4 linked regions of the Neodiprion lecontei genome follow. The protein of the gene in region 1 interacts with the protein of each later gene in a pairwise test. Links are inferred from orthologs where the notes say so. Each region holds a gene or a part of one and is shown on either strand. Other genes may lie near its edges.

Region 1 (8,021 bases):
ATTTGATGTATAATAGCTTGTTGTTGGAGTTGGCTAGCTTGTGACTGCGCCGACAACTGTTGCATAGCTTGGAGGGGATCTCCTATAGCTTGTAATAAGCCACTTGAAGTAGGACCTAATTTGTAATAAAAACAAGTTATGAACTTGTATGATACAAATAAGTTGTATGCTGTGTGAAAAATTGGTAGGAGAATTTTTTTAATCAGTGGTACATCATTTATACCTGTGTTCACTCCTGACGTGCCGTATGCATTTGTTCCAACTGTAGAGTAGTTAGAACCAGCAGTCGAAAACGTGCTCTGCCCAGTTGAAAAAGGAAGCATATTTTGTGAGGAGCTAGTCAAGGTACCCAATGTTGAGTGATAGGCAGGTGTTGTTGTCGAATATGGTGGAAGAGAAGAAAGTGTTGTCTGGGGGATACTTGTATGTGGTCCAGAATAGTTGTGATGAGTCAGTTGCGATGCATAACTGGTTGTTACAGAGTTGTAAGTTCCATTGGGATGAGAAGTCATGGACAGCGTTGGGTATGTTGTCTGCTAATGAGATAAAAAATAATCCATTGACATGATAAAATTAGAGGATGTAAGTCATTTTTATGAAATCTACATATTTTCACTGTTCATCATGTACATTTTGCCTGGGTCTTCTTTACCATGAATCTTAACTTGCTAGTATATTACAATATTTTATAATGACTATGTTTTCCAATTTTTTATTCACCAGGTATTCGCGTGTAATAAAAAGCAAAGAAACATGCTTGGAAAAATTCTTGACCAATGTTCGTATTATTGTTGCTGGAAAAACCTACCTGTTGAGTACCGTTGAGTTGATAGCCTTGATTTGTCTGACTCGGTTGCGTATAATGAGGCATGACATTCTGACCTCCGGTAGCAGAAGTTAAGTACGAAGTTGAAACAGGATGTTGTTGTTGCTGTATTGGTTGTTGGTACGTTTGTGTATGTGGATAACTTTCTTGATATTGACTGCCGGAAAACTGCGTGTGTGTTTGTAGTTGTTTCTGTTGAGACGGTAGGGTGCCTTGTGAGTGCGAGCTTGATAGTTCGTGCTGCTGTTGCTGTTGTTGTTGCTGATATTGTTGTAGCTTCTGCTGAAACGCAGGCTGTGATTGGCTAGTTGAAAGAGATGGTGCAGGTGGAATCGGCTCGCTGTAGTGGTACGGTGGACCATTTGGTGTTAACGGTGGACAGCCAGGCATCATTGGTGTTAATGGCATCGGAGAGCCAGCGTACTATTAATTACAGATATCAGCATGAGTAACTTACTATATTGTCAAATATTTTTTCAGATAAGTTAGTACAATAATGTTACCATACAAAGAAAGCTGTGCAGGTATTAGAAACTAGTGTTGAAAGAGTCATTCTATATATTCTATAGAGCAATAAAATCGTAGCTTATTTATCAATGACAACTCACGTGTGATGTTTGTGACGGTAGACCAAGGTTTAATGCATGCGGATGTGGAGGGTGCTGATGTTGCCCCAAGTTGGGAAGATTTTCTGAACTTGAACGTAATATACTTTGGGAACCAGAAGGCTGTTGAGTTGTCACGTTGCTCCTCGAATGATCCAACTCGTGCAGAATCCTACTGGCACTGGTTTTACTTAAGCTGAGTGTGTGTAATCGAAATTAAAAGACAGAAAGAATTAGATGGAATGAATGTAGGTGGTACAAGGTTTCTAAGGCATTTTCAAATAACACCCTCTACTTATTACGTTACTAGCATTCTGACTATTTATATCACACAAACTGGATATTTTTGGTCGACCAGTGTATTGCAATTGAATTTTCGATGCGTCATTTGAGCCACATCAGTTTATATTTACATTACAAGAACCACTGGACACATTGATTACTTTTAGTAATAAGGTGTCATATCTAATTTTACATGGTACAATATATTTCCCTGGTTTATGTGGGTGATTCTATTAGCAAAATCTGGTAAGTATGTAGCGTTATGAAGCTGAATGAAATGCTTAATGAAGCACATAGATTTGTATTACACCATGACTATCACCTGTTGTCCTGTTCAATTTTGGCAATAATTCGATCAATTTCAGAACCAGCAGGGGGCCACGTGGACATAGGGACTGTTGAAGTCACGTTGCTAGCAACCGGTCCTCTGCTACGTGCCCGTCTCAAGCTGGTCAGCTCTAGGGACAGTTCTTCGTGTCTAACCATCTGGAGTTCTGTTTTCTTTTCGAGTTCCCTAATCTTCGATTGCAGTGCTTCAACAGACTCTGGTCCTGGATACCGGCCAGCTAACTTGTCACGTAACTGCGCCTGCGTCTCCGCATGTTGCCTCTCCAATTCTGCTCTGCGGGCCTCGGCCTCTCGCATTTGCTACAGAATGAAACGAACGAATTGCTACGTTAGATTATTTCATTTTAAGATAGAGATATATAATTGCTGAGAGTGTTGGGTTATATTTCGGATATTCATCCGAACCTCATGGTAGAATTACGGTTATTCGCAGAGTTATTTGAGGGTCTTGTATTGTAGTTCAAAAAATAGTTGCATAGACATGCCTGTGGATTTCATTGCTGTGGCCGGCTGTGCTAAGCTGTCAAATTCGAAGTCGAGTAGGATAGCTGAATATCTAACTAAAGCTGGAGGAGTATATGTACGATAAGCGAAAATCGAATTAAGGAGATTTGCGTATTATTGAAGCGTCAACGCTGTCTAAAGCTCAACATTCGGAAACGACGGTTTAGCAGTGAAGTAAGACATGCGCTAGAAAATCGCCGCCACCGTAAGAACGCGCAACGCCATCATGAAATTGGAAAGGAATCAGCCCAGAAAAGGCCCTTTGAGCCTGCGGAGCTACATGGTATTAAGTTGTGTTGAAAATCCAATACGGTAGCGTGTAGCCTCATAAAGGTTATTAAAATTACGTTAGGCAACTGAACGCATATCAAACATTCCTCGGTATTTTTCGCTCAGCTTAACAGGCCGGCAATACGTACACGTTGGTACACATACCGTGTGCGGTGTGAGCGGGTTTGAAACGCGACCCTACGGGAGTGTCGTGAAAGTGCATTATAACATATTATACTATCAACTCTTGCATAATATTTACGTAAAGTTATTAGAAGCTGATACCGGGCAAGTACGGTAGATTTAAACTTTTCTAAATTCCGTTCGTTATACCCAGCATATGAATAATAATTCTGCATAGTCAGATAAATTAGTTACTTGAATTTATTGCATTAATTAAAGGTGCGGCGTACTTTTGTTTCTCTATCATGCAATTCGATACACACTAAAGTATAAGGGTAACATTCCATAAAAGGTCTATTCTGCTGCGTACTTTCAAATTTGACCGGTCTTTCAGCCAATCGGAATCATTGCTTGACCAATCAGTGAACTCGGATTAAAAATTCGAAAATTGAAAGATACAATATAAGCCCTCGGGACCACCCGTCGAGTCGAATCAGTTCATCCTGAGTTACTCACCTCGAGGATAGTTTCAAGGACGGGGTCTTGCATGATGGTGGTTCTTGTGTTGGTCCCCTGCAGTTGTGGCGGCTGGGGCCCCGTCGATGCCCCTCCACCTCCAACGCCGCAGCACTGTAACATATCCAGTTATCTGATCACTGCTTAAACCCGACAATCAATTCAGAGGATGTAATTTCCGACACTAGAATCTCTATCTCGTTGGAGAAATAGTATACTGTACATTGCGGTCAAGACAGTGGCTACTCTGATGAAAGGGTAGAGAAAAAAAGGGGTCGAGGTGTTTATCAAGAAAAAAGTGACCCTTCGTTCTGAGGTCGTCTCGTATTATTCGTCATCATTCTTCAGCCACGGGTATGACGGAAGATGAAGGTACAGGCGATAAAAAGTATGCAGAAAAAGCGAGGAACAAAAAAATCGGGTTCAACCCAAATCCCGACTATCTTTCGGACGTGTAACGTACAGTTCGAGTGACCAAGGGTCGGCCCACCGTTTGCTGGAACCCGCCACCGTCACTGACGGAACGCCGCGACGGCGGGCGTCGGAGGACGACGAAAACCGACGGAGAAAACCACCCCCCACTCGTCTACAGTGGCGTAACTCGAGCGAGCGGCACCACCTTTATCGTCGTCTCCGCGCCTAGATGACTACCGAATTCCGGAACGGGGGTCGCAATGAAAATTTACTATGGAACGATAATGGAAACGAGACGAAATCGGCAGAACGATCGATGATTCTTATAATTGTCTACCAGCTGTAGCATTGCATCATGATTATTGAACCTTTACCTGCTACTGTTGTTTTTTATTTCAATCTTTTGCAACAATTTCGCAATAACAGCACTATATATTGTTACCGTTAATAATATACAGAGCCACATTCATGCACACGGATGCATGTCTTACAAATTTACGAAATACCGTGATGAACTACACTTTGTACCTGATCACTGAGCGTAAGTTGAAACTGACAATAACGAGTCTTCATACTTTGGAACGCTTAACGTTGACGGGACTTATCAAGCTTCTCTCATAAAACTTGAAATATTTCCGTATTTATTATGAAATCACCTCGATATACTGGTAAAATAACGCGTTTTATGCGGAAGAAGCGAGACCGATAATTCCGTAACTGCAGATATCGCAATCAAGTGGGACAGAAATTCGGACAAGTTGAACTTTCGAGAGAGAAATTGTAACGAGATATACACTTTGGACCAGGGTGTCGGGTGAAGATGGCTGAAGGCAACAACCGTTCAGATATCATCAGATAACGCCGAACAGCACCCAGAATTGATACGACACTGCTTATTGATCACCAACCGCGTACCGGGCGCGCACAAACCACTGAACCGCTACAACCACGACCACTACAATGCTCCTGCACAACCATTACCATCATCACGATAGACGATGTAGCCATAGCCGAATGTTCGTAGCATCATTTTCTCTCGAATGACAAGACCGCCATCGAGGGTAATATCGGGGCCCGTAACAAAGCCGACACGACACTGGATGTAAAAATGATAATGAGAGGGCGAATGAGGATCAGCGAAGATCCTTATACGGTGCCTTATACCGTCATGATAATAATGAAGAAATAAAGACTTAAGTTTGAAACTTACGATGACCGAATTGAAGGGATTTTGGCAGGCCAGGGCTGCTGTTGCAGGTGGAGTTCGTCGCGGAGTGAGTTTCACTGGATTATCATCCCGAACCCGCGAAGATCTGCTCGTTGGCAGCAGGCAGGGCTGCTGCGAGAGGCACAAGGGGAAAAAAGGCGAGCGGGGTGGGTTGGGGGTGGCGGGAGGTGGGAGCTGGGAGGTGGGAGGAGTGGCAACGGATATGGGTCACTCGCGGATCGATGACGCGCTCCGCTCCTAGAGAAAGAGAGCTAGACAGGAGGTGTAGTGGCTGCTTTCGCACAAAAGACCAATCAATATAGCCGACAATCTCCGATATCTGCAACCCTCTGGCATATCCCCCCCGAGTGATAATTCCACGTATAACGGTTATCGCAGGCCCAAGGTCACCTTGACGATCCGCGAGCAGCAAGGGCCGTGATCCGCGCTGCCCCGAAATCCTTTTTGAAACCACCCCGCTCGACGCCCGAAACCCCGAAATCACGGCCGGCGACGCTCGCGCATATGCCCTCGGCGTCGGCGCTACCGGCCGCCTACATGACGTCACGTTCTATTCGAGGAACACCCCGCACCCGACCGTCCGGAGTACGCGCTTATCAATGAACGTACGTCGTCGGTACGCGATTGGTCGTCGGGCTCGTCTCGGTGTGGTACCGAACGGAAACGTCGTCCACCGTCGGCCTTTCCACTGCGCCCCTACCCAGCAGCGGGGATTACTATAAGGTCTTTGCTGCACGCAATTTCCGTATTCGGTTTGCCCGATTGCTCACACCCGAAGGCCCTGCCGTTTCTATGTTTTACAAACCCCTGTATAGGTAGATCTCCAAGCGTGATTCACGCGACTATGATACCAATCGGGGGGCTTAATCGTAGATCACGGATCATGATTATCCGGTACGTTTCTTTACATGTGTATAGATTTTCGTGCCAAACGGAAAACTTTTTTACATTGTGGTCGTACAAGTATAAATGGATTTTTCACCGATCGAACGAACTATACGTATTATACTGATTCGAGAAAACGTTCTCCGTGAATTCTGTGATGGAATGTTTCTTATGCTAGTCCAAACATAGTTCTCGATTATACATGGCGGATAAATTGGCAGCCGATAGACGATCCGATCTCGGGATGTTTGGTACCGCTCAGATTAAGTTTGAGGGCCTTGCTCCATTCCGAGATGGATGAAAAATGAATACCCAATATCTTGTTCGAAAATCTGCAGTGTGGCTTGAATCAGAATATGAGTACACGTGACGCAATGGATGCAGAACTGCTGCTGTTAATTTGACAATTAAATTAATTAATGGCATAGCTAATGCGTTGATGTTTACCTCCATAGGCTGAAGTATATAATTTGACACTGCGGTATTACAGCAAAATATGTTAATAGTGCGTATGAAGAGGAACACCGCAACAAGTTCATACGTGAATGCTAGTTCTAGTACCTGCGTTATACGAAAAAGGTACGAAGTATCACTATAAACCGCGATAACTGGACCATGCTACCACACTGGAAACTACAGATATGGTTCAAGGATTAAGATGTTCGTATCGTTGGCATGAACTAACATCTTGGAAATATGGCAAACTAACGAAGAATATGTAATTGTAAGTATTACGGGGTAAAAATCAAAATACGGAAACACAGCGGAATGGAAAACGAACTAATTGTAAATCGTAATCGGGTCATTCATTCTTCTGTCTGTATGTTGAACTGAAACTTCGTTACGTCTGTTGAACTGACGACCACGATCATGTAGTCGATGAAATCCAGTAGATCGTCTAATTACAAGTTTTGAGGTTTGTGTCAAAGCGTGACATCGCGAATCGCTGCTAGGCTGTACTCGAAAATATAAATATACAGCTCGTTCACGCACGACGTATGATGTGGCAAAGGAATGTGCAAATTTCATGTGCTCCAAGTAAAAAAAAAAGAAACATATTTATATAACGCGAGCATGTTTTACGCGTTTTTCCACGTGTGTTTTTCGTACAGAAAATACCCGTTTTTAAGACGGCTGGGTTAGTCTATGAATGCGCCTGCGCGGAGTACTGAAAAGACCACATTTAAATCCTAGGAGTTGAAAGTGGTCTTTTCAGTACTGCGCGCATGCGCTGTCGCGAACAAATCTGACATCACGCGACCCGAACTTCGAATTCGAGCTTTGTGAAAAAACGTGTAACATACTCTTGTTTATACATATAGAATCGCTTGCAACAAGAAGGCAACGGTCTTTTCTGGCCTCGTGTACTTGTTCGCCGAGTTTGCCTCCTTGTTATACAATATCCTACTTATTTAGTTTTGAACAATTTTATTGCGGCTCAAACAGACTTATACGGTTTCCGAGCGTATAAATGATGTTTACGATTACTGCGCGGCCTACTGCATTTTAAATTCGGAATAATTCACCTACGTCCGCGAAACTGAGCAACTGGGAATAATTCGTATGTTATATACGCTGTACGGTCACATGCAAAACACGTGAGACATATAAATACCGGGACATTATGGAAATAGTTACGCATAGTAATGAATGAGAAGTGACGCATGGAATTAAATCAAAGGCGCAGACAATGCTTAATTAAATGAAGAGAAGAAGTTGCCACCCTGCTCAGGGAATATAGGCTGGATTACGATACTCGTACGTCGAAACCGCATGCATGTACTGTGGTCAGTCTCTGATCGTAACTGCTCGAGCGATACCACGAACCGTTTTATCGTACTGCGTTTTGCGTACATTGCTTTCCGCAATTGTGAAGTCCATTATACTAGATAAGGATCAAAACGCAAGCGAGTCTAAAATTATAACATGACAATACGACGTTAGTTGGTGGCTGTCATTTTATATCATTAAGGATAAAAAAAAATTTTCTCCAATCACCGTAGGTATCATTTTTCTCCCA
Region 2 (7,982 bases), on another chromosome or scaffold:
GGGAACGCTGTCGAATCGCACGGGACATAACGCTCTTGTTTCCGCCTTGTAAATCAGACCCAGATGTGTCTTCAGGGGCGCTTTTCTTAACGCGTGACGTCACCGAGTCGTAACAGGGAAACACACCCTCAGCTGGATGCGCGCAACGCATAACGCGCTCATTGTTCACCTGGCAGGTAGCTCGTCAGCGCTAGGAAAACTCGTTACGAAAGCGGTTCACCCTGGCTGAGACATGGAGGGTTCATGTGCGTCGCATAACAGGATCCTGAGCGTTTCCGTGTTATATGTTACCGGTGTAATAGTCTCTCCTTTCAGACGTTGCAGAGGCTCGAAAGCCGGGTATAAATGACAAGACGAAGGAGAGCCGACTCCTCCAGGATTAAGCCAGATTCGTCACACTTGACGTCATTTCGCCGAGAGAGGAGAAGAACCGTAACGACGTTAGCATTTCCTTGTTGAACTCCAACAGCTCCAACGTCGGTAAGATACAGAGACAATTTGATAGTGTGAGGCGAGGGAAAAAGAAGGGGATCGAGTACTCGCGAGACCAGGCACGGCTGATGGCTAACTAGTTTTCAAATTACACCTACCATTGGCTTTGGCGCAATTAAAAGTTCTATTCACGTAGGTACGTGCAACGTCTACCTGCTACGGTCCGTTCTTGCATTTCACGCAAAGCTGCAGACGCGATGCGTCGGGTTTCGCCTTTGATCCGGGACGCCTCGTCGTTGAGAATTGTCCCAGAAAAGCCAGCTGAGGTAGGACGAAAAAAAAAAATGACTCGGTGTTTCACCGCTTTACTTCCTTTTGACGTACGTGTTGAATATGCGCGGCTTGGACGGCGAAACATTGAACACGAGTTGTAGAAGCGCGACGCGGAAAAAACCTGCTGTTCGAAATAATTTCCCGACTAAAACTAACGGGGAATGAAGTAGCAGGAAAAATAGGATTAAATCGATTTTTATGTGTAAGAATGATTCTCGCTCGAATTAAATTGTTGCATATAATACGACCTCGAAAGCTGAACGAGGGGCGGAATGCTTAATTGAACCTCTTCAAGTTAACGACTACAGCTCAAAGGCCCAAGATTCATCTTCGTCATTACGATCCATCCAGGAAGTAAGGTTACAGTCCACATCTCCGAATAATACCCTCGTTTGATTTCAGGAGTTGTAATTTATTTTCTACCCTAAACTGGTCTCCCAGTTTTGTGATTGGATTATGGGGAAACCAAACGGAGCTAATTTTCTCTCGGTGTGATAATTCAGAACGAATTCAGTCGATGTTTCTCACGAGTATATTTATGAGATCGACGGTCAGGCAGCGAGCCTGGAAAAGTGTGACGACGACACTCACCGATGCTGCAGTGTCGGTCCTTGACCGTCGATCGCGACGAATAAGATGTAAGAAACGAAAGAACTCGGGGAACATCAATTTCCCCCGACGTCAAACCGCCGCTATACTTTCGGGCATGAACCTAATCTCGTTATTGCAAGGAAGTAAACTGCGAACCCCAACGGTTCACTCGATTTTAATTGATCAGCTTGAGGATCAAAATTCCTTGCGCGACAAAGGCGCAGCGTTACTCGCGAAATTTTTAGCAACAGCTTTTCCCGAGAGAACAGGACAAGCTCACCCCGTCAACGAGCCACTCAAGTTCCATTGATACGAGTGCAGTGAAGGCCCCTTCACCCTGCTCTCGCCTCTTCGCACCGCGTTTCGTCGCCCCTTCGCCAAAGGTCTTACGCTTTTCAAAAGCGACTTCTCACCAACTTTGCTTCGCAGGTTTAGACGAGCTTCAATGGACGACGTCGATCCGAAATTAATGCCCAGTTTTTGCTCGTCTCGCGGCGAGAAAACAAGGCGAAATCGGAAAGTCCGCGTAATCATTTCACGCAATTCGCCGACGACCTGGAGCAGGGAATCTACGTGTGTAAACGGACTGTATAATGTGAAAAACTTGAGGTGGGTGTGCACGTGTACGTATATACGTACACAATATGTATTATGTGACCTATCGAAATATCGATTAAAGGAGGACATCTTGACAATAGGGACAAAGCCATGTTGGCGTCGCGGTGGCCGCGGGGGGCGGGGTGCGAGGCTGGGGGCGAGAAGAGGAGTGCCGGAAGATCTCCTGCAGCTTCGACCGAGCTGAGAGGAGTCAACGACTTGGACCTCGCATCGATTGCAAATATTTAAAGCCGGGTCAAACAGGTTCCGCGGATAAGTAGGGCTTGACACGTTCCGAATAGCTTGACCACCATGAGCGTAGGGAGTATTGATCCTGATTGAGAAAGCCCGACACCCCCCGAGATTGTTACTGCCAAATGGATTTGATTTCGTACTACGATTCGGTTACACCACGATCTTAATTTGATACGATGAGAATATCGACAAGCGGAACCCAGTCGAAGTGCAGAGTTGAAGGCACAGGGCGAAACTGTTGAGCGAAAACTCGTCATTCGAAAACAAGCGGAATTTCAATGCAATTTAATGGATTCCATAATAAATTGAGTCATTTCGCGGATTTGATTGCCGGTAATCAAACGGAGTCCACTGCGATAGTTTTTCATCAGATATTTGCTCACTTCGGAAAAACGACCCCACGGAAACATCGAGAATTAGAAACGTGTCAAACGATCATCCTGTGATCGTAACCTAGCGATCTGTATTTTCAAATCGACCACTCGCGGCTTACGTGACTTTAATTTTAACGTGGCAGAAGAAAACCGTGATCTCCAAAATTGGTTTATTCTCAACATTAAGGTGCTCAACGATGGGTAACGTACCTTGTACTATCTAACGTGCAGGCAAAAGGCAAGTGACAGAAACATTTCCAGTGAAAAGAGGTGAAATTTAAAAAAAAACGGTAAAGTAGAACAAGGCATTGTGTGACCAGCCGTAAGCCGAGCGGAGTTTGCTTCTGGCGTCAGATTCAATGCACGGACTTACTGCAAAACGTGGTGGTGAAAGGCAATGATTTAAAAAATAACAATAGAGGCGGGTCTGTATGGCGAAGCGCAAGAGGAAAGAAACGCGGGAGGGTGGATCGACGAGCTTGAATTATACAAATCAGTACAATACAAAATTGCGGGATTCCCGTGACCGTTGAAAAAGGCCAACGAATGAACGTGGAAAAAAACTTGAAACAAAAAAGAAGCTAAAAACAAAGAGCACTGGAGGCAATTTCATGGTTGCGCGTGGCCGAGCGACCAAGGTAATGACAGCGATGGAATCGCTTTGACGCGGGGTGAAAAAAAAAAAAGGAAAAATACAAAACCCATATATAACGGAATGAGAATAGCTTGGCAAAGTAATACTAACGTACGTTTCTAAAAAGGAATTGGTCTGACAGAGATTGGAAGTTTTTGAAATTTAATCATAGATTCTAAATCCGTCTTAACAATTTGAGCGTGGTTTATAATTGAAATTGAAACCAAAACAAACAAAAAATAAAAAATAAAAAAATCTTTTTCCCGTCGGCGCGTTGTTCATTCAATTATTTCTTCTAAAACCGTACAAGGTGCTCAGTTATCGCGGTAGTGTTCCTGTCTGAAGTAATTTTCAACCTGTCAAAAAGTATACCGTCGGTTAATAGATGAGAAAATTCGCGCCCCGCTACATCTCTTTAACAGTCCTTGGGGACGAGAGTAGACGAGAATATCATGAGAGAATCCTGCTGGAATGACTATTGACTTATAGAGGCGTGCAGAGAGACGGTGGGAAACTGAAAGAGGCACACCCGCCTGCCTACCGGTACTGAATAGAAAGTGTCTACTAGGTCAATTGTGTAGGTGGTAGGTATAGTCCGGGCTAAACCTAGGTGTCAACAAGTGGGTTCACGTTGGCACCATTTCGGACTTGTCGTTTCGACTCTTTTGTGTGTTTGTTTTTTTTTTGGGAGGGAGCGAGAGATCGTAGAATATATTTCTGGCAGAATCCCTAACGGCCAACTATCGCGGGAAATCGTGCGAATTGAAACACTGACTCCCTTCGAAACTGGCCCAGCCGAAGAAGCGGCCAACAACCGTGGCTTGCGGCCGTTTTCATGCCGTGAGAACGCGATTCGCGGAAGTTGATATCACCAAGGCTCGAGGGAAGAAAAGAAAAGAAAAAAAAAAAGAGTCACCGCCCTATCTCGCGTGCGTCTTGCGACTAATTTTCTCTAACAATAAGATCCCGTCGCGACGCCACGTCAACCCGTATGCGAAACACCCTTGTGAGATTGGCATCGCCGCCAGCTGCAGAGTCGACAACGCAACTTTACGCATCGAGCTTGCAATCAATATCAAACACCGCGTTCCAGGTCGCGAAGCACTTTATTAACGTCACCGCTGCGTCGCTCTTTGGCTCGTTCGTTGCTTTTCCAGCCGATTCGGCGTGACGCGTGTATTACTTTTTTTACCCTCAAACTTTGCGAACCCCCTTGGGAAGGGAATTTGGACCCACGTTAAAACTCGCTTTCATACCAGACGACGGAATTGGAATTCAAGTTTCGGGGGTGCGGAATTAGGAGGCGTATATCGTAATTTAAATCTATGAATGGCGCGTCGCTGGGTAAAGCCGAGACTTGAGGGTGGAAAACTTGGATTATACTCGGTTCGATTGAACGGAGCGGGCCGTTTATTCCGTCAAGCGGCGGCTTACAAAGCAGCATACTGCACGCCAAGATCTCGTCAGCCCGGCGAACCGCCATTTACCCGTAATTATTATTATTTCACTTGCTGGTTACCTGATGTCGTTGATTATTTACGGTAAATAATGTGCATTTACAACCTTGGACGGTGGTGTAGCACACAACCTATACCGAGAAGGTTGATTTACACCTTTGATGCGGATACATACATGATACGGAAGATCACTCGAGCAAAATGCGGCATAGCATCTGTGCGATTTACACCTGTAGGTATTCGTACAGGAATCATAAATTCATCTCACACTGCACAGTATAATGTAGGCCGAGATTGGCATTTCGTTGTTAACACGAAGTTTATATTGTATAACGAAATTTTCTTAACGATCATTATTTTTCATAAATATACATATATATATATATATATATTCTTGTGTGTATATATATTATGCGACAAGTCAACTGTAACTTCAACAAACAATCATTGATAATAATTGACAGTTTTCGATTGGTCGAAACATTCTATACGGTTCTACGGCATCTATTATACTCGCGCACACATACACTCGGAATTGTTTAATCTAACTCGCGACGCATTCACTGCGATTCAACTCGTCACTAGGTTAATTCCACTTCTATTTACCGCACTAATTTGTCGCATTAGTGCCACTGTGATTACAATCACTCCACAATAAATTACCGTAAGGATAAAATGACTAGCAATGATTTTTGTTTAATATTTTTCCCCCCTCTTCCTTCGGTTTAATTTCGTACTAGTATTTCATTAGCGATATTGCGCGCATACAGACTTGCGTTCATCCACGCTGTGCCTGTATACGCTTGATAAATATATTTTATAGAACGTGTATAATTATATCTCCGTTTATTTATCTATTCCCTCTTAACTCCGAGTTTAATATCTCAACTTTGTATTAGGCAGATATGGATTATTAACGTAATTTATGCATTTTCCCCAGAGTCGATTCAACGCCGCGATAACCCGAACGATCGCGTGAAACTTGCGTGCGTTGGTGGCGATATTTTACACATATACGTGTATGCGTGCTTAACGTAATGTAACACAGGTATCCGAGTTTCCTTTGCCACTTTAAAGATATTGTAACAGCTTCGTGAATATTGAGCGATGTTAGGTCGAACTTATTATCAAAAAAACGTGCAGCTTAACACGTATATCGAAGGTGTCGGAAAAAATGAGTAAACTCCCGAAAAAGTGGGTCGATTGTGATCACCGACGTGGCAAGTAGAAGAACGGTTATAAAATACGCGACACGAAACACGATCGAAAGAGTATTATATCATGAAATGTAATAGAATCAACAATTATGCAAGGTATTATTACTTATAAACCGATTATTGAAAATCGTCGTGTACCGCAAATCCACGATAACAACACTCGAATGGTATTGTAAAATACAAACGACAACAATGATTACGATGAAAAATTGATATATATTATTTTTTGTATGGAAATAAGAGCAGGCAAAGAATCGCAAGGTTAAATTTATCTCCGGCACTGTAAATAAATAAACTTCTCCACTGGTTTTCACTTCCAGTTTAGCAAGCCTCGTACGATAGCTTTAGAATTTCGTTTTTGTAAAAACTCGTCGCGATTTCTAACCGCCGCCGTCTCCGGACCCAGGTGAGACCCAATGTGGGCCGGGGGCCGTGCAGCACGGCTTCTGCTACTGCCGCCCGCCACAACGTGTAGCCAGGCTACTGAGGCACCCCTCAATCAACCCGAGGAGGACGACGACGAGCACGACCGCCACCCCCTTGACTACGCATGCGCCTCGACGAGGAGCGCCTCTGGTGATTCAATTGACCCTACATTTTGAATTCACGCACGCCGATCCGGTCGTAACGAAACGCGCTAATGCTTGTCTCTTGGACGCCGTCCGGGCGCGGTCCTCGAGTCGGCGGCGTTAGCCTCGGAGATGCTGTAAGTCGTTTGACGGGGATGCGGATCGGCCACGAGGCCTGGGGCACGCGAGACGTGACGAGATTGAACCAGGCGGTGGCTTTTGTACGTGGCGGGAGCGTCGCGACGCGCGTTCAGCAAGTCCACGCGGCCATCTCCTCCATATTGATTTTCCTCGTCGGCCGCGTTCCACGGCCATATCCTCGTCGGCGCGGTTCGCGAAAACCACGCCGAACAATCTCCTCCCCTTCGTCCTTGCAGCAATAATTTTCTCGATCCTCCGCCAGTTCCCGCGATGCGCCAGTTTCTTTTCTTTTAATCGCTAAATTCAGGGGCGATGTTTTTCCACCCGCGACGTCAACGTCCGCGATCCCGACTTCGGGTATTGCGGAACGCGAGGATTGGCGGTAAACGGAGCTGCGGGTTGCTAAAGGTGTTGAAAATACAACCTGCACCTCGGGGCTGAAAACGGAGCTGCTGAAGCAACTCGTTACGAGAATGCAGCGGGAAGTTTTTGCTCTGCCAAGCCACATTAGCGGGGTGGCGAATCTAGCCGAGGTGAGGAAAACTGCTACCTGCAGAGCTGATCTATGTAAGAGCTAGAGACGCGTTCCGCGCGCTGGAGCGAACGTCTTGGAATTTATAGCGTAGCTACGTTTCCGCTGCCATGGTTACGGGAGAAACTGGCGTCGCGGCCCACGCAAGAGGAGCTTTCAGAATTCTTGTTTTCCAATTTTCAAGATTTACTTTTCTTCCTTCCGCTTTTTTCCCCTCCCTCCGTCGTCTCCAAGGAAAAAGCTTAATTTCCAGCCGACATCCCCCTTATCTCTCAATGACGCGAGCAGTCGGATTTCGATCGAGCCACAGATAGACACTTTCGTTAATCACGTCCCCTGAACCCCTTGCTTTGGGTATTCCCGGTTGATTCTGCGAGGCAATCGTTGGTCACGCAGAGAACCAGAGCGGAGAATTAATTAATCAATGACGCCCGCACTTTGCTCCGCAGCCTCCCGTAGTCCTCTTCGATCCATCCGCGGCTGTGCGCCGTTAGACGTTTCAACCTGAGATGCGGAACAAGGTAGGTACACACCTGCGATCCTGGCTTATATACATACCTACATAAGTTCTCCGCGTACGGAAAGCCGAGCGTTATTGGCTAATCGGCGTTTGTCCCGCACCCACGCCGTTCTCCTTGATAGTAATTACCTACAGATAGATAACCAGGGATGATTAGCGACGAGTATCCCGCTTTGACTACGTCGCTACGTGTCTATCCGCGTTGATATTTGGCCAACAACAAGACCTGCAGATGCGAATTAACAGTTGCATGGGCGTCTCCGGAACAGGTGGCGGTTACGCGTTATCATTTTTATTATTTCAGCTCCTAATTTCGAGAGAAAATTCGCC
Region 3 (7,714 bases), on another chromosome or scaffold:
CATGATTTTTTTTGCAACTACCGCGCATTGTTCGGAAAAAAATACGGATCTAGCGAGATTTAATCTGATTTGACCGGTTCAAATTTCAAAGAAACCAGCCATCCCGGGTGCGTGTCCTCCCCTCATCAGTTCATTTCCAAATTGACATTATTCACTGTCTTATACACGTTATACAGTATTAGTAATACAGTGGTTACTTTATCTTAATTGATAGAATGAAATCAGAGTCAGTGTTTCAAAAATTTTGCAGCTCATTGAAAAGACACAGAAAGGATCGGTATTTGAAGTATGTGTAACTCATCACTTGCGTACTTCACACGTCCGTGGTCATGTTAAGGCTTTTTTTCATTATTATAATTAATATCATCTCTGGTAAGAATTTGCAATTGATCGAAAGGCTCACCTTGCGAGTTCTCAACAGTCCATCAGTACACCAATTGTGAAAATCGAACGCCCAATCGTCACTGTATTATATCTATGTATAAATGCGCGACGTTTAGTACATATTAAAAACAATTTTTCTCAAAGTTTTCAATCTCTTCGAATAATACATTTCGTCGTGCGAAAACGATATACCACGAAAAACTAATTTAATCGCTGAGGGTGTACAGCCGCTACAGAAAGAAAAATTAACGTTACCGTACGTATTTTCTTGTATCTAGGCGAACCGGCGCGAAATATTTTCTGCAAAGGCTGAACACGTCGCAGTTTTTTTACCATGCGAATAATGATTCTTTATTATCGTAATTGTTTATATTGGGCATTTGATTTAGACTTAGTATATATAAGGCTAAATCAGCTAAGGGGTGGTATTTACAAGGGAATGAGATCGTCAGCGTCAACAGCAACTTATATTTCAGCAATTCATTACTCTATGTAGATGTCTTCTATGGGGAAAGCAGTCTCGATGAATTTCGTGTAGAACCGGTGAAAGGCTCTCCTGCAACAGAAGACGCAAGACATCCACGTTCCTCGTTACGTAAGCAGAAACCATGCAACATACGCAATATATCAATATAGTTTTTATTTACCCAACTGCTTCGGCAACAGGTCGCGTCGACTCTTGGCCAATAAATACGTGACAGGCGAACCTCTGGAGCGTTGGGTGTTTCGTTATGAATCCGAGATAGCGATGATCCCGTGGATGAAAAGCGCAAAACGAGACGTTCTTCAGCGAGTAGAAGTAGTCGTGGCAAGGGCCCCGATTTTTCTGCAGGGACCACAGAAAAAAACGAGACATATTGTTCGTGAGAGTTCTAATTAGGACCGAAGGGCTATAGAGCTGTGGTTCTTCTTTCGTGAAACGAAAACTTCTCCGTCGAAGACGGTGGCTTTCGAAAATCGTTGAAAAATACTCCCCTGCCATTACCTGCGGTTTGCTCCGGTCGACCATCCGCAAACCCTGGTCAGACACTTCTAGAATGCAACTCTGAGACGCGGGCGATTCCTGACTCGGGGCACCGACGATTCTGCGAACGGCTTGGCAGACGACGCCCGTTCCTTTGTGAGCAAGAGTCTCCACCGATCCGAGGTATCCCAGTAGGTATCGTTCCCGTTTCACCTTCGGAGCCGAAGGATCGAAGTCGCTGTAGTCCATGTCCACCGCGTAAGCCGAAGGGAAGATACCTTGTCTGCCAGTCCTCAGGTTCACACCTGAAACGAGAAGAGGCTCACTCTGCTTATCGAAGACAATTCTGCCGCCGGAGTTTCATACCTTCGCACCAAAGATCGTCAGCCTCCTTCTGCACGTATATCGGGTCCCCGATCTCTAAGTCGATTTCGTCGTGATGTCGCGGCACAAACTTGTGCAGCCCGCGATGAGTCGCCTCCAGTAGTTCTAGCTGCGTGAAAGGAACTCCACCGCTACCTGGAGGGAGCAAATTTTCAATACGAATAAGGTATTGTTTTTACAACCACCGTAGATTTGGATACTAATCGAAGCTTTACTAATTCTGCTACTTATTTTCTGCTTTTTTTTTTTCTGCGTTCACCTGGCGTGCTGCTCGGCGAGACTGAGTTCGTATTCTGTACGGTGCTGCACGGAATTGGAGACACACTCTTGGGCCCGTTGTCTGGGGAATGAGCGGTGGAGTGGCCACTGTCCGTCGTCATTCTCTCGCTGTCCGGGGAACTATCCTCATGACGGAGACGCGGATGATACTTCCTCAGAACGAGATGCGGCCGTCCCGCCGTTGACGTTGCCGCCCCCAGCTCGTCGGCGAGCGACGGAGACGAGTGAAGAGACGAATGGCACATCGACACGGCTGTCAATTAGTTATATACGTTCATAACTCAAGGAAATTCTCCAGGTTCCACATTTACGAGCATGATATTTCTTTTCACTTCAAACTAACGATTTTCTTAATGTATACCGTTATGTTTTCACGATCCAATCAATTTTCAAGGAAACACAGAGCTTTTACGACTGTGAAACTCACCCCTGTTGTAGACACAAGAGTAATGCATGATGATTGGAATTGCAGAAGATTCTCTTTTCATAAACCGTGTCTTTGTAGCACTCGGTGAGTACGACTATTATTTTCCACCGAGTTTATTTCGAATAATCTAAGAAATAAAGGTAAGTAACGACTGAATTCTCCGAAGATCGAGACTAGAACTGATTCGTTACATACAGCAGTTTTCTTTTTGTTTCCTTTTGCTCTCTTTCTGGCGGTTATTTTCTGTACGCTTGTCTATTTTGCGGTTAATTATGTCAACCTCATACAGCAAAAGCCTCTATTTCCTTTCGTCACACATGATTTGTGATCAGAGGCTGCTAATGTTTCACGCAAATGGCGATCGACGGAGATCAAGTTACGACGACAACATCGGCATAATCTCCCGAGTCTCGTTACTTTTTCTTTGCTCGGGAGAACCGATGGAAATACAAATTTCAACAATACACCGTGAGCACGTTTACTCGTCGTCACGTGTCAACCGATGTGAATTACGTAGAACTGGCAATGCTTACATTTTTTCGTCTTTGGAATCTCCGGAAGTCGTCTCCGCCTGCGTTCGCCGCTTGCGGTGCACCCGCTTCCGCTACGATTTGACGGCACGTGTTCCGGAGTGGGCCAGGAGCTGAGGCTCGAGCAGGAGTCACCTACGTCACTGATTACACTCTCCCTGCCGCAGCCTCCACCTTCCGATCTTCCTTGTCCTCCTCCAGCCCCGGAAACCGATCGCCTCCTACTGCTCAGTCCACCGAACAAGCTAATGTCACCCAACGCAGTGTCCTTGTCACTAGTCTACTCACATGCCATTGAAATCTTCTAACCTCCCATCGAGAGTCGATCTTATAAACAGACTCATAGCTACGCGGGTTCGGACTCGCCTGCCGTTCGTATGAGCGAGAACCCACGCAAAGATGAGATGCGAGGAAAGTGCACTTGCCATACCTAAAGTCGCTGTCAGCTACGATGGAACAGTGGTGGTCTAGCTCTTCGTCGTCGTCTCCTGAGCTCTGCTCGCTGTGGTTTCCGTGACGATGAATAAGCGCGACAACCTCGTCGTCCTCCGAGTCCACGGCTGCACCATTCTGACCGACGTCTCCGTCGCTGCCCTGCGAGGACGTCGGTGAATCGTCGACCATGACATCGTGGACCAGTCTGTCGCGAGATGAAAGACGAAACAAGTAACGCTCATTCATAAATTTCACTCTTCTACCTCACGTCATGTGCTTAATACTAGATTCCAGATTAGTAAGCTCTCTCCTTCGATTCATCGGTCTTTGGTCTGAAAGTGCTTGTTGAAAGAGAAGCTGTCGAAGCGCGTACGTTTTCTTCCCTAAGATGCTATTGATTACCAAAAAAAATTCACCACGCCGACCCCAAAGTTTGAATACCGTACGGAAGGACATGTATGTACCAGACCTCGTCGAAGAATAGTTTATAAACGTTTGATCACATAGCCAGCCATTGATTTTTACTAGAGCGCACGAAACGTCTACACTTACTCCGTTTTTCCAATGCGCAGATGAAGTTTCTGACCACCATGCTCTTGTGGTAAACTGAAACCCTAAGTCTGGGAGCACATCGGGTTTCAACGATATTTGTAATACGCTCCTAAAATATTTTTTATATACTAATGATCTTGGACGGCTCGTTTATGGTTCATATAATTTACCGACCATGAACATTCCGCTTCAATATCACGGCTGGTGATTTTTACCTGCCCCCCCCCCCCCCCCCCCCCCTCTCCTGCATGACATGTCAATAGTTTTGGTTTCAATTACAGTGTTTCGGGTATCGATTGAAACTCCTGAAGTACATTGAAACCACATCTCTTGATTCACCCCCTCTACCTGGGTTGCGGAACATTAAAAAGACGTTATTGGATGAAATTTGAGTTGAAATAAGGCTGGCAGAATACAAGGAATACGAAATTTGACAGTTGCCATGAGAAATGTCTGAGAATCCATTTGTATACAATATGTATGCATACTCGTAAACTGCAGTTCACTAAGGCTCGGCAAACCACAAGTTGTACCAAATGGTCAGAAAGATTTTGTCGACCAGGATGATGTAGTTATATTTCTTCTATTAGAACAATTTTCCCTGTCATTATTTACGCTGCATCGACGAATTTTTTACTCATGCTGTAAATTGCACCCCGTGTTTATTGACAACCGTGGATCGCCCCAACAAACCATTGATCGATGATGATTGTGACGTTATTTATAAATATCACCGTGTCCTATAGACCCATTAACGTTGACAAGGATAGTGAAAACGATGTCGCATGTCAGGGTGCTTCTTCATCAACGCGAGCGGCTTCAACGTGTCAAGTGTTTTCCTCCACAGTAAAATCCACCACGGATGGAAAGATAACTGATAAAATTACTCACGTGTAATTTGATATCGGTGCCTTGAGATGTTGAGGCAGTCTCTCAAAGTAATGCCGGAATTCTTCAAACTCTGAATCAGCCATTCTTGAAAGGTCGGTCCGTGGAGGCGGCCGACGGCGGAGGCGACCGGGCCGGACGAAGGCGGCGCACGCGTCGCAAACCTATTGATTCCTGGACGCAGCGTGACGCGCGCACCCCTCGAGCGAGCCTCGAGATGAAAAACGAATATGGGGGCGCAGAGGGATGAACGAAATACGAAACTTCTACTCGTGTGATGCAGCGCCTAAACGCCGTCCCGTCACCCGTGAACCACTTGCATCAAATCCAAGCAAACAATTGCAAGAGTTCGGACACTGGTGGCATTGATTATACCTAGAGAAAATTTGGCTAAACCGCTGTTGTTAACGATCGTGAGAAGTACCTACAATACGGATACCGATGTTGACGCGTTGGACGATGACTACCTTGTACAACTAATGCGGTTTGACAAGGTCCTTCCCCTAATTCGGCCAATGAAGCACCTCGAAATTGAGTGGTCTCACCTTTCGTACGCTTTTTAATTTTCGGCTGGCTTCCGCCTTCGTTTCTTCAGCATACCTCCGTCCCATCATTCGTGCCGAGGAACGTCGTTGAAAGGATCCTAGTGTTTGCCAACACCGAATGCCCATCATCTTGCGCCTAACCATTTGCCTCCCACCGGCTTTGCAAACGCTAGTTCGAATCGAAGCTCTCTTTAAATAACCAGGAGACTCCTCTCCACTTTCGTTCCATGAATAAAACTCCCCGCTCTCAACGAGTACTATATTGCCTGAGAGAAACCTTGTACCGAATCGCGTACGACCTCCGTCTACCTGTTACAACGAGCCTGAAAAGACTTCACGCAATTTTCTTTATCGTATAAAAATTTATGCCGATTCATCATGCTTATCGAAGTACATGTAGTCATATCTCAGAGTTTCCAGCTACCGACATCGAGTGATAACCACAGGGCCGGTACTGGGCCACCCTTAACATAACACTCGACGAAGTGGGCAGAAGCAGTAAACCGATCTCCGATGCCGGCAGACGGTCCGAGCATCGCCATTCATCTGGACCCGGTCTTGCCGTTCGCTCAGCGAATGAGACGCTCCCCGATGGATGCGGGCCGTAAGTAATTGAAGCAAGGTGAAACAGACACTTCCAGAGATATACGCAGTGTAGCCTGCGACTATCGCCCACACCCCAGACCACGGGTGAGCCAAAGTCTGGTACAGGCGTCTGTCACCTCAAATCCCACGATAATCAGGCCACTGGATGTCGCTTGCGAACTTCGTCTATGACGCTTGTGCCCTGCTGACCATTTTTAATCGGCATGTATTTACGTCACCGTTCCTTTCGATGCACCACATGGATGAAGTGCGTTCTAGCAGCAAGGTAGGTCTGTAAGATCGTTATTTTTCTATTGCAAAACCAAGCGAAACACCCGGTACAACTCGGCCACCTCGACTGCCTCTGGATAGTAGCTGATAGTGGTAAGTGATGGGCTGGCTGGATAATGTGCTGTATCTGCTTTGTGGAGAAGCGGTGAGAACCGATAGGACTCGCTAGGGTAGAGAAGTGGGTTCGGGCTTTTGTTAAGCATTGTCTCTCCTTTTCTCATTTGCTTTCCGTTCTCCTACTCTCGTTCCCCAGCATTTTCTCATACTAAACACACATTCATCCAGAAGACCAATCTCGCAATTTTAGAGCACAGTGTCGTACCGTCTGATGCATTTTCTTTTTTTTTTTTCTTTTCTCGACAAATTACGACGTACTCCCGTCGAATACATAAGTCAAGTCTGCGTAACGTACGCAACATCGTGACAGCAGAAGGATACGTGGTATATTTCTTGCCGATCAGAGGATAATCGTTCCGTCGTCTACATTATTCGTCCGTGGACATGTTATGTGCAATGATTAATTGTTCGTCTGGTTCGATCCGGACTGCTGCTCTGGAGTTACGAAAGTTCACGTTTTCACGGACAAAAGAGTGAGTGTGTAACGGTCCGTGTCTGCGAAATTAAATACTATCTTGGAGCGTTATGATACTGCTCGGTTTATAAGCGATGCCAGATGTGCATCAACAATGGTCCCGTACACGACGAATCCAATTAGTAACTCATTTGTAAACCAATTGACGTAACTTGGTCGTGCATTTTATGAAGAAGTCTTCTGCAGCAAACGAACAGATAATCTGTCTGAACTCGGTTAAATTTAACAGATTTTCTAGTACCTGTGTTCGAAATTAATTAAAGCTGCTCGATAATACAAACTCGACATACTGCTAATTTTTAACAATCGATTATTTCTCCAACAATCAAAGTTACACTTCTCATTGTTTCAACTGTTTCCGTAATTCGTCGTGAATATTCTCAAGAGGTGAGGATAGAGGTCAGAATTCAAGGACGTCAGAGATTATACAGGGTCTCGCCGCAAGTTTGCCGGAAGGACCGGGAAAGAGGGAGGATAGCGTCCTCAGGAGCAAGAACGAACCACCCCCATAATCCCCGTACTCCTATAGAAAACCGTCTCTGCCAATAGTTGCCCGTCATCCCCTTGCTCAGGGACCAATCGGGAGCCGATGTTGGACGAAGACAGGGAGCGAGGACGCCACGGCGGAGGGGTGAAAAGCTTAAGAAGACCGGAATCGGCTGCAGGGTGAACACTGTCGGTCCTTCCGCAAGAGAGATAGAAGCATCATCCAAGAGTGAGGTTGAACCTGCGTTGCGTTCTTTACCGAGACGTGTTTATCCAAGTAAAATCGAAAATCTTCGATTAAGAACACGTGAAATTTTTCTTTCCTGAGCCTTGCGGCGGCTGCGGATTTCAAATAAAATCCCTACGTAAATA
Region 4 (7,957 bases), on another chromosome or scaffold:
TTTATTCCGAGGTCTGAAAAGATGTCTCTAAGAGTCATTCCGAACGCAGGGTGGGTTTGCCCCATCTCTTGCCCCAGTAGTATTGCCTTCAGTTGCAAAAATTTAAAAAGACTCTGTGGGAAATCTATCTACAGAGTCAATACATAATCTTTCCTGACGGTGACTTTCAGCCACGTGACTTATGCAAGATTTCGAATAATACAGATTCTGATATCGACCCGCAGTCAAATATGGAAAGTAGACACATCGTGTCCGCAGTTGCAGCCTGTAGGCAGACTTACCTCAGAATGCTATTAGGGCGTATACGCCTCTCTCTCTCTCTCTCTCTCTCTCTCTCTCTCTCTCTCTCTCTCTCTCTCTCTGTCTCTCTCTCTCTCTATCTCTTTTCCATAGTGAGAACTCAAAGGTTTCTTAAATTATTCTACTTTCAGTCCCACAGTGACGATTCAAAGAGCTAAGACTTGAAGGGAGGTCTATCAGAAGTCCTTGTTGTAGATGCGTGCTGATGGAGTGTTGGAAAAGTATCTTTCACTTCACATGGCATGCCTTGCATTTGTGATAAGGATATATCACCCCGCCAGTTGCCCATCTAAACTGATTTATCTCGGAGCTATATTGTTTTACTTTCTATCTGCGTACAATCGCCCAGCAGTCGCCACCTCAGAAATGGTCGTAACCGGCATTCTTCGACTTCTGACACCTTAAAGAAATCCGTCAACATTTTTTGTACAGATACAATTGGGGCGAAAAACACAGTGAATAATTGAAATGAAGCTTCAACTCCAATTTAAGTTGGATTTCCATGTTTGGAATAAACTAATACACTATTCGCTTGATTTTTTTTTTGTTCTAACAGTATGTTTTTTTACTTTACTCCACCAGTCTAATCATATATCCGTTCTCCTACATAATTTTTAGGCTCTCCTTACACTTCGTTACAAACATCAGCAAGTATCTCCAAAACGTGAATTGATTATCAATCGGCACGAGGTTCAAATTTTCCAAGTGAACGGACTCAGATTTTGATACTTCAGGACGTGTTTTAATCTTAACTACCGCCATTCGTTGGATATGCTTTAATATTGTTGTAAATAAACGTGAATAAATTGTTAGGATGACTTGTCCCACTTTTGAAATATCAATTTCTTTCATTACATTGTGTTTTGTGCACCTTTAGAGAATGTTGCAAAAATGCTTTAGTACTTTCGTCAAATTTTATCCAATGTAATTATAATTCCGACAACATCGCTGAATTCAAGTATCTATCGCCTATTTACGCATTAATCAACTGAAGTACACGTAATAATCATACACCGTTCAAGGAATCAAAATATAATTACACTATGAAAATATTTTATAGGGTAAAAAGTTCTCGGATCATGGTGATCTATGATGAATTTAGGCTGCACGTTGCTGGTATGATGAAAAAATGATATTCATTATCGTTGCGCGATACGTCTCTCTTGAGTTGCATTTGTATTGCCAACCATACATACATAGATGATACACAGTGTTATTTAGATACTCAGTCAAGTTTTCGTAGCGAAGATAACATTCCCCTGAATCCATTCATAATAGCCCATAACTTTCACCTTCCGTCAATGTATTTACGTGTCAGGCATTCATAGATAAAATCAATGCAATCAACTGCGAGCGATTGGGTTAGAAATTTGAAAAATCAACATTGCAATAGATGAACAGTTCAGAAAAATATACCGTAATACCTCCAGGGAATATTGTTCGTTGGATATTAAAAACCAGGCGCATTGCAAACATCGTTATGTCAAGTATAATTCCAACATTTTCTTTCAAGTTTGGTGATAAATAGCTCTAAATAAACACACCCATAGCATTTGAAGAAAAGTAATGAAATCTATTGACCACCCTTTGAAATATACCGGAAGCCATGTTAATAATCTGTTGCTTGTGGCAGGACGTAAGTTAGATCTGGATCGATTGGATTAGGTTAGATTGTTAAGTCACGTGACCAAAAAATTTGGTAAAAGTCATAGAATGGATAACTATTGATAAGTTGTCACATTCTGGGAGTATATGGTTGAAATGAATCTGAACGAATGAAACTTTCACAACAAGGATGAACGGTTTTCTGACTTTGTCATGTTTTGCTATTGGTACTTCGACATGCACCATTCTTGATAGTGCATCCTGCGATGTGTTGCAATGTTATGAACATTGAACGAAGTGTTTGGACGATTGACGGTGGGTGATGACATCTGGTGAATACTAACCTCATAATCTCGTTTTCCCGTTCTTCCTCCTGTTTTTGGCGCATCATGACGCTCTCGATGATGCGCCTTTCTTCTGGAGTTAGGTGCGACATGTCTGGGAGGTCCGCCATCACGGCCCGACTGATCCCGGGGGCGCAACCCTGTCCTCCACTTTTGTTTCCGTCTTAATAATTGATAAAGGTATAAAAAAATGCCGGCACGTTAGGGGCAACAGCTGGAGCTGTGGAACAAACCGCGGTCCGTAATGCCGGGATAGTGGGCGCCTGTTCTCCAGGAGGCTGATCGAGACACATGGGGCGTTGACTACAACTACGGGGCGACTCGTCGGCGGAGTCATCCGCCACCGAGGAGCCAAACACGGCGAACAAGGCGTGAAAATGAGACAAGAAAAACCTCGGAAGACGACGAAAAAAAGCCGAGGAACGCCTCGATTATGATCGTTAATAGACAAATCACTATGAACTCATTAAGTCCACTGTTACAAATCCTCCACCAATAATTTGCACCCGTTACAATAAAGGGCGTCGATCTCTTCAAACAAACTCTTCTATGTAATAAACTGCACCGATTCAGTACTATCGTCACTGCAGCACTAAATATACAATAATTATTACTATTAATATTATTGTTGTTATTACTATTATTATTATTATAATTGTTATTATTATTATCGTTACAATATCCGGAAGCACGCTGCAGTAGCTTGCAGAGGTTAAAAAATTCTACAACTGGCGGTCCAACAACTACACTGATCGTCGTCTCTGAAAGTGAATCGTCGATTTTGCGAATGTCCTTTGATTTGAGGTATCTTGCACTTGCGTCATTCGCATCGTTCGTATAACAAATCATGATCGCAGAATGTGAGGCGGTTTTACCATCATTTAACCGCGGCTTGAATAGGTGTATTATCAAGGCTAGATTAAACCTCCAGCCATGCACTCTCTCTCTCTGCCTCTCTCTTCATCTTCCTGCCTCGTCTTTCTTGTCACTATTTATACCGTCGTAACGCGCTCCACACGTCACACTTGTATTGCTGCTGTCGTTGCTGCACCACTGCACTGACTAGGGGTGACGGGGGGTTGAGGTGGGATGGGGGGGAGGGGGATACAAATAAATCCTCCTTAACGGGTAAACGTAGTCAGGATCAATAGTCGGCAACGCGTTCTGAATGAATCCACGCCATGCACACAACCATCGTTATATAGCTGGCGGTAATTCTCTCTATATCTCTCTCCCTCTCTAATCGTGAAATAGGATTCACCTACAACCCTATAATTCACTTCCAGCGTATGACGGTTTTCACTTCTCAAACTGCAGATCACCTTGGCATGCACCTCTAAAGTTCTACGGTTTTTCTTCGTTTTACTACTTCAGCTTTCAGGTGACGATCCTTCGCCGGTCAAGGATCCAGGATTCTTCAACAGAGGACGAGATTCCACCAGCAGCACCAGGAGCATTGATTCCAAACGGGCAAACGGGTCAGGTCACAAGTCCACGATATGTGGAGCACCGCGAGTAGTAGGTATCTATGTACAGTTTCGAACGAAAAACAGGTCGTACGCACTTTCCTCGTGCATCGGTATAAATCCCGTCAAAATATAAGAAAAAAAGTAAGAAATAGATAGAGGAGAAAGAGAGACAGAGGGAGGGAATAAGAAAACCGTAGAGATAATTCGGCTCAAAAACGGAACAGTAACAGTTGGCGGCTTCGTCGTTATGATGCAGCACTATTTTTTTATTTTTTTTTTTAGTGTACTTATGGTTATCCTCTAGCTGTATTAAGTTGTCTTCAGACTGAAAAAATTATTGTTTCAGGATTATTTCAACAGGACGAACGTTCAATGCCACACACACGCTCACGGATCAGTACTCAAAGTCACCCAGTGAGTGCCGAAAGATTCGATTGACTAATAAAAAAATTTCCGCGCACTACGGTCTACCAACATCAGCAAACAACCCCACATCCAGGGTCCGCGGTTTCGGACCACAGTCCCGACAATTCGATCTCCACTTGTCTGGGTATTGAGGGGAGTCAATTCCGTCGAGGAGGGTCGCACCAGTCTCTGTTCACCGCTAGCGTCACTTTTGGACTAATATCGGGCCCGCTGCTCACCCAACACGACATATTATCACCACGGTCTGCGCGTCCCACAGTCTGTCACCAGATAACACTCTTGCAGTAAGTATCCGAGGTTCAACTCCTCACCCGATCTTCATCTGCCTACCGCCAACCGACCGCTGTTTCCAACCGTGAAAATAAGCTCGAACAACACCGGGCAGCGGAACGAAGACTCAGCGCGATCCACACCCATAACCCCGTGAACGGCTATGCCTGGTTTTTCTTCAGTCCCGATCCGCTTTCGCAGTTCCGTTATCAGCTCTCCACTGGGTGGATATCACTGGTCTGTTTACCCGGCTGTTCAGCCTGGCTCTCTTCCGTGCACAATAACGTGTGATAACCGACGCGCGTTACGTTCGGTGGATTTTCTCGAAGCTGGGCCGACCGCGCGACCATCGACACGGCGTGGCCTCAACCCGGACCACCATTCTCCGGTGACGATTTGCGCGAACACTATTGCCGAGGGAGCTTTATTCGCGTTGACGTTGGCGCAGGTGGCGCCACCTGGGCCGCGGAAGCGGGGGCGGAAAGCTTCTTCTCCGCGCCGCCGCCCCCCGAGCATGTATCTCGGCTGGCTTCAAGCCGCTCCGGCTCTTCAGGGGCTGCAATGCCCGTGCCCGTCGGAGGCCGATCTCTTCTGCGTAGGCGGCGGGCACCCGGACGCCAAATCACTCGTTCATGCGGTCTGAATAAATAATCGGATGCGGAGCGAACCTCGGGCCAATCCTCGGACCGGGACGCTGCTTACGTCACCCGACGCCCCGTATTGATCAACGCCAACGCCAATGGCGCTCGACATCGCGACGACTCCACTACCACCGAATCAACCCCCAAAGAATTCTACCACGTCGATGCTCCCGCGACGCCGGAGAACCGCCAATTTTGACTCGACGCGTTCTCCGGAAGCCGCCGCACGGCCATGCACACTTCATGCCTCCCAAAGACCGGTGTTATCATGGCATTAATTAATAAAACAGGACTTTAAAACGGGTTTTACATAATTATTGGCGGTGTGCAAATCGTCGTCGAATCGAATTATTCGAATTAATACATACAAATCACTATTAGATTTATCTCAAGTTATATTTATGTCGGATCGAATTCTTCTATTCCATTGACCACAATAAAGCCAAAATAATCCCCAAAATACGTCCAAGTGTACCTAAAAATGAATAACTTTTCAATCGTTTTGCAGATGACAATAAGCTCAGTTCTTCGGAGTTCTTTCAAAAACAGTTCGTATTACATTGTCAGCTGTAAGATAGTTTGCCTTGAAATGGTTTTTGATGTAAACTGTCAAGTCTAGAAGATGATCGAGTTGAAACAAAGCTCGAAGAGCGCCGAACGGTGGCCATGTTGGTTTCACACTATAAATGTTTGAATCCGTCTGTCTGAAAATGTCTGATCAATAACCGTTATTCCACAAAGATTTTTTACGTAAAATGTTCGTGTAATTGCGCAATAATCTTTGTGTATGAGCGAATTTTTGGAAAAAGTTGATTAGCGTTGATTCGCCTTGATTACAACTATAGGTGTAGTTGAATAGTAACCTGCAGTATCGTTTAAACTTGTGGGTCAATTACTTCAGAAATACTGGAAAAACTGTAATTGCAATTGATGTGGTTATTTGCTGTTTCCTCTTTTTCAATTCAACCGATCAGTTGCAGAGATCATCTGCCGCGGTACTTGTTGCGCAACATTCAGAGAGGTTAAAAATGAAGGTATAAACTACTCGCATCTCAGGAATCAGGGCTCAATCCTCGAAATCAGCGTGAAACTTTCTGTGTGACCTTGTTTTTCCATCGCGAATTCGTAAACGAATTGCTGATCCGTATTTATTGAAACAGCTTACCTTTGGATCAACTTCTTTTACTCTCGAGCGTTCTTTTTTTTTTATTTTTGGTGTTTGTTGTTACGAATGACAAATTTCCCAGCGTTTTCCTGTCAGTAAACATTCACCTGTGAAATAATCGTGGAAATCAAAGTCAATGCGCTGATTTAAAGTAATTTCCAATCATTTGAAGTATACGGGATTCATTGGAAATCGTCGATCCGTGAGTATAACTTATATTGCGAAATTGCATTGAATATAGAGAGACTACGCCGAAGCAAATTCAAGTCTCTTTGGAGGCGATTCGGATTCATTGGAGAAGCCGCTTTTCGCAAATGAGAAACCGAATCAAGGCATTCGGCTTTTCCGTGCTTTCCTCCATACTTGTGGAATCCTAAACGCCTTGGACAATTGATTCATCCGAGATGTATTTTTCTGCATCTTCATCTCCGTTTTTGCCCGTTTTTATTTTATGGATTTTTGTGGTAGGGGAGAGGCGTGCGGGATGGGCCCTAGCAGGGAAAATGGGTCCATTATACAAACAAATGACATTTTAACAAATGTCGATAAAGTTTGAAATCTATTTTTGGACCATAGGCAAAAAAAAAATTGCTTTGTCGAAATTGGTCTAACGTTATTCCGCCCTTAAGATGCTCATTTTGCCCGCCTATCCCATAAGCTATGACTTACAGCCGGGAAGCATGAGGCTGGATGGTTGAAAACTTCGTCCTTTTCTTCTTCTGCTTCTTCTTCTTTTATTTCACTTCCTATTCGTCTTTTCCATTTTCTTCTGTTGTTTATTTTTCTGTCTTCGAAATTCTTTGAATTTTCCGGGATTCCTGGACTAACAACTCAATTTTCCATGCATTTTTAGAACTTGGGATATGCTGTAAAAGAAAATTATTCCAAAAATAAAAAAGTTACTGCTTCCTTTACGAAGATATTCCAGAATTGAAATTCAATATTTCCCTTCACTATTCGTTAGATTTGAGTACGATTTTTAAGTACATTGAAGAAATTCTATGTTTCAAAAATCCAAAAACGTAATCTATCAATTTTATGCGCTACTTAAAAATGCACAGAAATCAAGAATGCCCAACTTCTCTGAAGCATCGATGATTTACAAATGGGAGATCCATTGCAATAATTGTTTTAACATGAGAGATACATTTCACAATGCAAAGATATTTAACAAATATTTCGGTAAAACATGATTTCTTCGGTCAGAATGTCTGGTGTGAATTAACGTCAGACAATTATAGATTGGCATTATATTTTTTACGGTATTCGTCAACAGGTTCGAAATATAGACGCAAAATCAGAATGGCTGCTGTTAGACACACTGGGAATTTTATTTCAGCTCTATACTAACGTTTGGAGCTCGTTGGATATCAGATATTATTTCAAGACACAGAAAATTACAACATCGGATACTGAAGTATAATTTCACGTTCAGCCAATTTCTAGTAACCGAGAATTTAGCCTGCAAAAATCACTTGTACGTAAAAACGTGTGAGAAAGGAGTAGATATCAAACTGTAATAATAGTAAAATATGAACGACCGGATAAAGTCACGTTATCAATGGTATAAAATAATGTGCCTGAAATAAGAAAGAAGACTAAAACCGCGTGACGTATAATAGTAGGAAGGAACGGAGACTGCAGAGAGAAACCGATCAGAGAAACACGCTGTGAGGATTTCGGTGGGAATGGAGCATGCGAGGTTGCAAGACTGAGGTAGAAGTAGCGTGAGTTATC

Evidence for each region. The genes of interacting proteins can lie anywhere in the genome.
Region 2: the proteins of uncharacterized protein LOC107224707 (region 1) and uncharacterized protein LOC107223403 interact in a two-hybrid assay, tested with the Drosophila melanogaster proteins (2 studies listed by BioGRID). The link is inferred for Neodiprion lecontei from reciprocal best matches to the Drosophila melanogaster genes Rbp and unc-13.
Region 3: the proteins of uncharacterized protein LOC107224707 (region 1) and JNK-interacting protein 1 interact in a two-hybrid assay, tested with the Drosophila melanogaster proteins (2 studies listed by BioGRID). The link is inferred for Neodiprion lecontei from reciprocal best matches to the Drosophila melanogaster genes Rbp and Aplip1.
Region 4: the proteins of uncharacterized protein LOC107224707 (region 1) and regulating synaptic membrane exocytosis protein 2 interact in a two-hybrid assay, tested with the Drosophila melanogaster proteins (3 studies listed by BioGRID). The link is inferred for Neodiprion lecontei from reciprocal best matches to the Drosophila melanogaster genes Rbp and Rim.

What each region holds. Positions count from the first base shown.
Region 1 is NC_060262.1:35,316,183-35,324,203, reverse strand, and holds the start of uncharacterized protein LOC107224707, read right to left. Parts: upstream 4,748-8,021; 5' UTR 4,462-4,747; coding exon 4,417-4,461; intron 4,015-4,416; exon of another isoform or gene 3,938-4,014; intron 3,926-3,937; exon of another isoform or gene 3,698-3,925; intron 3,589-3,697; coding exon 3,475-3,588; intron 2,362-3,474; coding exon 2,036-2,361; intron 1,628-2,035; coding exon 1,435-1,627; intron 1,250-1,434; coding exon 809-1,249; intron 537-808; coding exon 224-536; intron 116-223; coding exon 1-115.
Region 2 is NC_060265.1:23,951,515-23,959,496, forward strand, and holds the start of uncharacterized protein LOC107223403, read right to left. Parts: upstream 4,995-7,982; 5' UTR 4,849-4,994; exon of another isoform or gene 4,736-4,848; intron 1-4,735.
Region 3 is NC_060261.1:43,606,028-43,613,741, forward strand, and holds the start of JNK-interacting protein 1, read right to left. Parts: upstream 4,995-7,714; 5' UTR 4,930-4,994; coding exon 4,847-4,929; intron 3,609-4,846; coding exon 3,399-3,608; intron 3,214-3,398; coding exon 2,972-3,213; intron 2,265-2,971; coding exon 1,992-2,264; intron 1,868-1,991; coding exon 1,715-1,867; intron 1,654-1,714; coding exon 1,370-1,653; intron 1,211-1,369; coding exon 1,032-1,210; intron 941-1,031; coding exon 868-940; 3' UTR 1-867. UniProt on the Drosophila melanogaster protein: The JNK-interacting protein (JIP) group of scaffold proteins selectively mediates JNK signaling by aggregating specific components of the MAPK cascade to form a functional JNK signaling module.
Region 4 is NC_060264.1:20,882,343-20,890,299, reverse strand, and holds the start of regulating synaptic membrane exocytosis protein 2, read right to left. Parts: upstream 4,995-7,957; 5' UTR 2,360-4,994; coding exon 2,250-2,359; intron 1-2,249.